2 linked regions of the Saccharomyces cerevisiae S288C genome follow. Each later gene encodes a partner of the first gene's protein in a complex. Links are inferred from orthologs where the notes say so. Each region holds a gene or a part of one and is shown on either strand. Other genes may lie near its edges.

Region 1 (3,528 bases):
AGACCTTATCGCCTGTTATTGACTACCAGTATGTTGAGACGATGAAATACGGTATGCCTCCAGTAGGTGGCTTTGGCCTTGGCATAGATAGATTGTGCATGCTATTTTGCGACAAGAAGAGGATAGAAGAGGTTCTGCCCTTTGGCTGTGTGGATGATGTAAACAGGCAGTAAATTTTGCGACGCCTGCCAATGCTTTTGTAAATAAATCAGACATATACTGTAAATAATTAGAATGGCATTTAATTTTTTTTTTTTCTCTACACCAATAAACTACGCTACGCGAAAAATCCAATATAAATATTCAGTTATAGCTAATGAGAGTGTCGAAAAACCTTGAAAACAACTACTGCACACCAAATTGATACGATTAAATGGTACCCCCCACGGTAGAAGCATCCTTGGAGTCTCCTTACACTAAGTCGTACTTTTCACCTGTCCCAAGCGCGCTCTTGGAACAGAATGACTCTCCAATAATAATGGGTATCGATGAAGCTGGCAGAGGGCCCGTATTAGGGCCAATGGTCTACGCAGTAGCCTATTCTACACAGAAATATCAGGACGAAACTATAATCCCTAACTACGAGTTTGACGACTCTAAAAAACTTACAGATCCCATCAGAAGAATGCTGTTTTCCAAGATATACCAGGACAACGAAGAACTAACCCAGATCGGCTACGCAACTACGTGCATCACTCCGTTGGATATCTCTAGAGGAATGAGCAAGTTCCCACCGACGAGAAACTATAACTTGAATGAGCAGGCGCACGATGTCACAATGGCACTCATTGATGGCGTGATAAAGCAGAACGTGAAGCTCAGTCACGTGTATGTGGATACTGTTGGACCACCAGCGTCCTATCAGAAGAAACTGGAGCAACGATTTCCTGGTGTCAAGTTTACGGTCGCCAAGAAGGCAGACTCGCTCTACTGCATGGTCAGTGTGGCGAGTGTCGTTGCAAAAGTGACCAGAGATATACTAGTCGAATCCTTGAAGAGGGATCCCGATGAGATCCTGGGTTCTGGATACCCCTCCGACCCGAAGACAGTCGCATGGCTGAAGCGCAACCAGACAAGTCTTATGGGCTGGCCCGCCAACATGGTAAGATTCTCATGGCAGACATGCCAGACTCTGTTAGATGACGCCAGTAAGAATAGTATCCCTATCAAGTGGGAAGAACAATATATGGACAGCAGGAAGAACGCCGCACAAAAAACCAAGCAATTGCAGCTCCAGATGGTCGCTAAGCCTGTTAGAAGGAAGAGGCTGAGAACCCTAGATAATTGGTACCGGTGATCACCTCCAGTTTGCACATACTATATATCTTCATGTAATACTACATATGTCATAACTTCAATAACTCATACAAGTCATCTGCTACTATGCTTTGCCGTTTCTACTATCCGTGAAGCGTGACCGGCCCTTCTCACCCCCCGTGTTACGCAAAGAACAACAAGAGGTCGAGACAACCAACCGGAACGACTAGAAGAGAGGCTGTTACGTTTCCTGTTTGTTCACGCTCAACATCTTCCATTGCTGTAAACTGCATCCAGTAAAATTAATAGTTATTAGCGTACTATGTCTGCCTTTGTCAGGGTGGTTCCAAGAATATCCAGAAGTTCAGTACTCACCAGATCATTGAGACTGCAATTGAGATGCTACGCATCGTACCCAGAGCACACCATTATTGGTATGCCGGCACTGTCTCCTACGATGACGCAAGGTAATCTTGCTGCTTGGACTAAGAAGGAAGGTGACCAATTGTCTCCCGGTGAAGTTATTGCCGAAATAGAAACAGACAAGGCTCAAATGGACTTTGAGTTCCAAGAAGATGGTTACTTAGCCAAGATTCTAGTTCCTGAAGGTACAAAGGACATTCCTGTCAACAAGCCTATTGCCGTCTATGTGGAGGACAAAGCTGATGTGCCAGCTTTTAAGGACTTTAAGCTGGAGGATTCAGGTTCTGATTCAAAGACCAGTACGAAGGCTCAGCCTGCCGAACCACAGGCAGAAAAGAAACAAGAAGCGCCAGCTGAAGAGACCAAGACTTCTGCACCTGAAGCTAAGAAATCTGACGTTGCTGCTCCTCAAGGTAGGATTTTTGCCTCTCCACTTGCCAAGACTATCGCCTTGGAAAAGGGTATTTCTTTGAAGGATGTTCACGGCACTGGACCCCGCGGTAGAATTACCAAGGCTGACATTGAGTCATATCTAGAAAAGTCGTCTAAGCAGTCTTCTCAAACCAGTGGTGCTGCCGCCGCCACTCCTGCCGCCGCTACCTCAAGCACTACTGCTGGCTCTGCTCCATCGCCTTCTTCTACAGCATCATATGAGGATGTTCCAATTTCAACCATGAGAAGCATCATTGGAGAACGTTTATTGCAATCTACTCAAGGCATTCCATCATACATCGTTTCCTCCAAGATATCCATCTCCAAACTTTTGAAATTGAGACAGTCCTTGAACGCTACAGCAAACGACAAGTACAAACTGTCCATTAATGACCTATTAGTAAAAGCCATCACTGTTGCGGCTAAGAGGGTGCCAGATGCCAATGCCTACTGGTTACCTAATGAGAACGTTATCCGTAAATTCAAGAATGTCGATGTCTCAGTCGCTGTTGCCACACCAACAGGATTATTGACACCAATTGTCAAGAATTGTGAGGCCAAGGGCTTGTCGCAAATCTCTAACGAAATCAAGGAACTAGTCAAGCGTGCCAGAATAAACAAATTGGCACCAGAGGAATTCCAAGGTGGGACCATTTGCATATCCAATATGGGCATGAATAATGCTGTTAACATGTTTACTTCGATTATCAACCCACCACAGTCTACAATCTTGGCCATCGCTACTGTTGAAAGGGTCGCTGTGGAAGACGCCGCTGCTGAGAACGGATTCTCCTTTGATAACCAGGTTACCATAACAGGGACCTTTGATCATAGAACCATTGATGGCGCCAAAGGTGCAGAATTCATGAAGGAATTGAAAACTGTTATTGAAAATCCTTTGGAAATGCTATTGTGAGGTTAGAATGAAAATAAAATTCGCCAGTAAATGCGTATCTTGGAGAAAATATCAATTTGTTATTTTGTATATATAAAAAATTAAAAAAAAAAAAAAAAAAATACTCAAATACTCAAATACGTATACATTATACTGAAATACTTCGCTTGTCTTCGAATCTAAATCCTCTCTCTCTTCTGTCTCAAAATGATATAAATAAATCACGTCAAACGGTGCGTCAACATCTTTGTTTTTTCACCTCATGTGGAATTGGTTGAAATTAACAAAGGAGTGGGATATAGGATATAACGCATAAAGTTTAGCATACTACTTTCGTATATTATTGTTCGGTGAAAGAAACTAGTTCCCTCTTATCTCTCAATATTTGCCAAAATTAGCTTTTAACAAATAAACCATGAGTTTCCTACCATCTTTTATCTTAAGCGATGAATCTAAAGAACGTATTTCCAAAATTTTAACTTTGACTCATAATGTAGCACATTATGGCTGGATCCCATTTG
Region 2 (5,114 bases), on another chromosome or scaffold:
CCATTCAGAAACAGTGGAATTTGAAAAGGATCTTCCGCATTATCACACAAAGAAGGGTGTCTATATACACGGCGACACTATCGAATGTCCCGTAGCCATGTGGTTAGAGGCTCTAGATCTGGTTCTCTCGAAATATCGCGAGGCTAAATTTCCATTGAACAAAGTTATGGCCGTCTCAGGGTCCTGCCAGCAGCACGGGTCTGTCTACTGGTCCTCCCAAGCCGAATCTCTGTTAGAGCAATTGAATAAGAAACCGGAAAAAGATTTATTGCACTACGTGAGCTCTGTAGCATTTGCAAGGCAAACCGCCCCCAATTGGCAAGACCACAGTACTGCAAAGCAATGTCAAGAGTTTGAAGAGTGCATAGGTGGGCCTGAAAAAATGGCTCAATTAACAGGGTCCAGAGCCCATTTTAGATTTACTGGTCCTCAAATTCTGAAAATTGCACAATTAGAACCAGAAGCTTACGAAAAAACAAAGACCATTTCTTTAGTGTCTAATTTTTTGACTTCTATCTTAGTGGGCCATCTTGTTGAATTAGAGGAGGCAGATGCCTGTGGTATGAACCTTTATGATATACGTGAAAGAAAATTCAGTGATGAGCTACTACATCTAATTGATAGTTCTTCTAAGGATAAAACTATCAGACAAAAATTAATGAGAGCACCCATGAAAAATTTGATAGCGGGTACCATCTGTAAATATTTTATTGAGAAGTACGGTTTCAATACAAACTGCAAGGTCTCTCCCATGACTGGGGATAATTTAGCCACTATATGTTCTTTACCCCTGCGGAAGAATGACGTTCTCGTTTCCCTAGGAACAAGTACTACAGTTCTTCTGGTCACCGATAAGTATCACCCCTCTCCGAACTATCATCTTTTCATTCATCCAACTCTGCCAAACCATTATATGGGTATGATTTGTTATTGTAATGGTTCTTTGGCAAGGGAGAGGATAAGAGACGAGTTAAACAAAGAACGGGAAAATAATTATGAGAAGACTAACGATTGGACTCTTTTTAATCAAGCTGTGCTAGATGACTCAGAAAGTAGTGAAAATGAATTAGGTGTATATTTTCCTCTGGGGGAGATCGTTCCTAGCGTAAAAGCCATAAACAAAAGGGTTATCTTCAATCCAAAAACGGGTATGATTGAAAGAGAGGTGGCCAAGTTCAAAGACAAGAGGCACGATGCCAAAAATATTGTAGAATCACAGGCTTTAAGTTGCAGGGTAAGAATATCTCCCCTGCTTTCGGATTCAAACGCAAGCTCACAACAGAGACTGAACGAAGATACAATCGTGAAGTTTGATTACGATGAATCTCCGCTGCGGGACTACCTAAATAAAAGGCCAGAAAGGACTTTTTTTGTAGGTGGGGCTTCTAAAAACGATGCTATTGTGAAGAAGTTTGCTCAAGTCATTGGTGCTACAAAGGGTAATTTTAGGCTAGAAACACCAAACTCATGTGCCCTTGGTGGTTGTTATAAGGCCATGTGGTCATTGTTATATGACTCTAATAAAATTGCAGTTCCTTTTGATAAATTTCTGAATGACAATTTTCCATGGCATGTAATGGAAAGCATATCCGATGTGGATAATGAAAATTGGGATCGCTATAATTCCAAGATTGTCCCCTTAAGCGAACTGGAAAAGACTCTCATCTAAAATATGTTTGAATAATTTATCATGCCCTGACAAGTACACACAAACACAGACACATAATATACATACATATATATATATCACCGTTATTATGCGTGCACATGACAATGCCCTTGTATGTTTCGTATACTGTAGCAAGTAGTCATCATTTTGTTCCCCGTTCGGAAAATGACAAAAAGTAAAATCAATAAATGAAGAGTAAAAAACAATTTATGAAAGGGTGAGCGACCAGCAACGAGAGAGACAAATCAAATTAGCGCTTTCCAGTGAGAATATAAGAGAGCATTGAAAGAGCTAGGTTATTGTTAAATCATCTCGAGGGAAAAATTCAAAAATGCTAAGTGCAATTTCCAAAGTCTCCACTTTAAAATCATGTACAAGATATTTAACCAAATGCAACTATCATGCATCAGCTAAATTACTTGCTGTAAAGACATTTTCAATGCCTGCAATGTCTCCTACTATGGAGAAAGGGGGGATTGTGTCTTGGAAATATAAAGTTGGCGAACCATTCAGCGCGGGCGATGTGATATTAGAAGTGGAAACAGATAAATCTCAAATTGATGTGGAAGCACTGGACGATGGTAAACTAGCTAAGATCCTGAAAGATGAAGGCTCTAAAGATGTTGATGTTGGTGAACCTATTGCTTATATTGCTGATGTTGATGATGATTTAGCTACTATAAAGTTACCCCAAGAGGCCAACACCGCAAATGCGAAATCTATTGAAATTAAGAAGCCATCCGCAGATAGTACTGAAGCAACACAACAACATTTAAAAAAAGCCACAGTTACACCAATAAAAACCGTTGACGGCAGCCAAGCCAATCTTGAACAGACGCTATTACCATCCGTGTCATTACTACTGGCTGAGAACAATATATCCAAACAAAAGGCTTTGAAGGAAATTGCGCCATCTGGTTCCAACGGTAGACTATTAAAGGGTGATGTGCTAGCATACCTAGGGAAAATACCACAAGATTCGGTTAACAAGGTAACAGAATTTATCAAGAAGAACGAACGTCTCGATTTATCGAACATTAAACCTATACAGCTCAAACCAAAAATAGCCGAGCAAGCTCAAACAAAAGCTGCCGACAAGCCAAAGATTACTCCTGTAGAATTTGAAGAGCAATTAGTGTTCCATGCTCCCGCCTCTATTCCGTTTGACAAACTGAGTGAATCATTGAACTCTTTCATGAAAGAAGCTTACCAGTTCTCACACGGAACACCACTAATGGACACAAATTCGAAATACTTTGACCCTATTTTCGAGGACCTTGTCACCTTGAGCCCAAGAGAGCCAAGATTTAAATTTTCCTATGACTTGATGCAAATTCCCAAAGCTAATAACATGCAAGACACGTACGGTCAAGAAGACATATTTGACCTCTTAACAGGTTCAGACGCGACTGCCTCATCAGTAAGACCCGTTGAAAAGAACTTACCTGAAAAAAACGAATATATACTAGCGTTGAATGTTAGCGTCAACAACAAGAAGTTTAATGACGCGGAGGCCAAGGCAAAAAGATTCCTTGATTACGTAAGGGAGTTAGAATCATTTTGAATAAAAAACACGCTTTTTCAGTTCGAGTTTATCATTATCAATACTGCCATTTCAAAGAATACGTAAATAATTAATAGTAGTGATTTTCCTAACTTTATTTAGTCAAAAAATTAGCCTTTTAATTCTGCTGTAACCCGTACATGCCCAAAATAGGGGGCGGGTTACACAGAATATATAACATCGTAGGTGTCTGGGTGAACAGTTTATTCCTGGCATCCACTAAATATAATGGAGCCCGCTTTTTAAGCTGGCATCCAGAAAAAAAAAGAATCCCAGCACCAAAATATTGTTTTCTTCACCAACCATCAGTTCATAGGTCCATTCTCTTAGCGCAACTACAGAGAACAGGGGCACAAACAGGCAAAAAACGGGCACAACCTCAATGGAGTGATGCAACCTGCCTGGAGTAAATGATGACACAAGGCAATTGACCCACGCATGTATCTATCTCATTTTCTTACACCTTCTATTACCTTCTGCTCTCTCTGATTTGGAAAAAGCTGAAAAAAAAGGTTGAAACCAGTTCCCTGAAATTATTCCCCTACTTGACTAATAAGTATATAAAGACGGTAGGTATTGATTGTAATTCTGTAAATCTATTTCTTAAACTTCTTAAATTCTACTTTTATAGTTAGTCTTTTTTTTAGTTTTAAAACACCAAGAACTTAGTTTCGAATAAACACACATAAACAAACAAAATGGTTAGAGTTGCTATTAACGGTTTCGGTAGAATCGGTAGATTGGTCATGAGAATTGCTTTGTCTAGACCAAACGTCGAAGTTGTTGCTTTGAACGACCCATTCATCACCAACGACTACGCTGCTTACATGTTCAAGTACGACTCCACTCACGGTAGATACGCTGGTGAAGTTTCCCACGATGACAAGCACATCATTGTCGATGGTAAGAAGATTGCTACTTACCAAGAAAGAGACCCAGCTAACTTGCCATGGGGTTCTTCCAACGTTGACATCGCCATTGACTCCACTGGTGTTTTCAAGGAATTAGACACTGCTCAAAAGCACATTGACGCTGGTGCCAAGAAGGTTGTTATCACTGCTCCATCTTCCACCGCCCCAATGTTCGTCATGGGTGTTAACGAAGAAAAATACACTTCTGACTTGAAGATTGTTTCCAACGCTTCTTGTACCACCAACTGTTTGGCTCCATTGGCCAAGGTTATCAACGATGCTTTCGGTATTGAAGAAGGTTTGATGACCACTGTCCACTCTTTGACTGCTACTCAAAAGACTGTTGACGGTCCATCCCACAAGGACTGGAGAGGTGGTAGAACCGCTTCCGGTAACATCATCCCATCCTCCACCGGTGCTGCTAAGGCTGTCGGTAAGGTCTTGCCAGAATTGCAAGGTAAGTTGACCGGTATGGCTTTCAGAGTCCCAACCGTCGATGTCTCCGTTGTTGACTTGACTGTCAAGTTGAACAAGGAAACCACCTACGATGAAATCAAGAAGGTTGTTAAGGCTGCCGCTGAAGGTAAGTTGAAGGGTGTTTTGGGTTACACCGAAGACGCTGTTGTCTCCTCTGACTTCTTGGGTGACTCTCACTCTTCCATCTTCGATGCTTCCGCTGGTATCCAATTGTCTCCAAAGTTCGTCAAGTTGGTCTCCTGGTACGACAACGAATACGGTTACTCTACCAGAGTTGTCGACTTGGTTGAACACGTTGCCAAGGCTTAAGTGAATTTACTTTAAATCTTGCATTTAAATAAATTTTCTTTTTATAGCTTTATGACTTAGTTTCAATTTATATACTATTTTAATGACATTTTCGATTCATTGATTGAAAGCTTTGTGTTTTTTCTTGATGCGCTATTGCATTGTTCTTGTCTTTTTCGCCACATGTAATATCTGTAGTAGATAC

The links. The genes of interacting proteins can lie anywhere in the genome.
Region 2: the proteins of LAT1 (region 1) and PDX1 are in contact, whole or in part, in a cryo-EM structure (PDB 8OHS), measured with the Neurospora crassa proteins. The link is inferred for Saccharomyces cerevisiae S288C from one-to-one orthologs. Residues at the interface, in XP_962786.1 of Neurospora crassa: Lys263, Lys266, Leu267, Gln269, Ala270, Pro453, Leu454; in XP_956161.2 of Neurospora crassa: Leu323, Gln326, Val327, Leu328, Lys332.

Annotation. Positions count from the first base shown.
Region 1 is NC_001146.8:489,944-493,471, forward strand, and holds LAT1 (dihydrolipoyllysine-residue acetyltransferase), read left to right. Parts: upstream 1-1,579; coding exon 1,580-3,028; downstream 3,029-3,528. Other genes in the region: lysine--tRNA ligase MSK1, read left to right, coding at 1-173; ribonuclease H2 catalytic subunit RNH201, read left to right, coding at 374-1,297; TOM7 (Tom7p), read left to right, coding at 3,423-3,528. UniProt on the Saccharomyces cerevisiae protein: The pyruvate dehydrogenase complex catalyzes the overall conversion of pyruvate to acetyl-CoA and CO(2).
Region 2 is NC_001139.9:882,628-887,741, reverse strand, and holds PDX1 (Pdx1p), read left to right. Parts: upstream 1-2,000; coding exon 2,001-3,233; downstream 3,234-5,114. Other genes in the region: XKS1 (xylulokinase), read left to right, coding at 1-1,669; glyceraldehyde-3-phosphate dehydrogenase (phosphorylating) TDH3, read left to right, coding at 3,932-4,930. UniProt on the Saccharomyces cerevisiae protein: Required for anchoring dihydrolipoamide dehydrogenase (E3) to the dihydrolipoamide transacetylase (E2) core of the pyruvate dehydrogenase complexes of eukaryotes. This specific binding is essential for a functional PDH complex.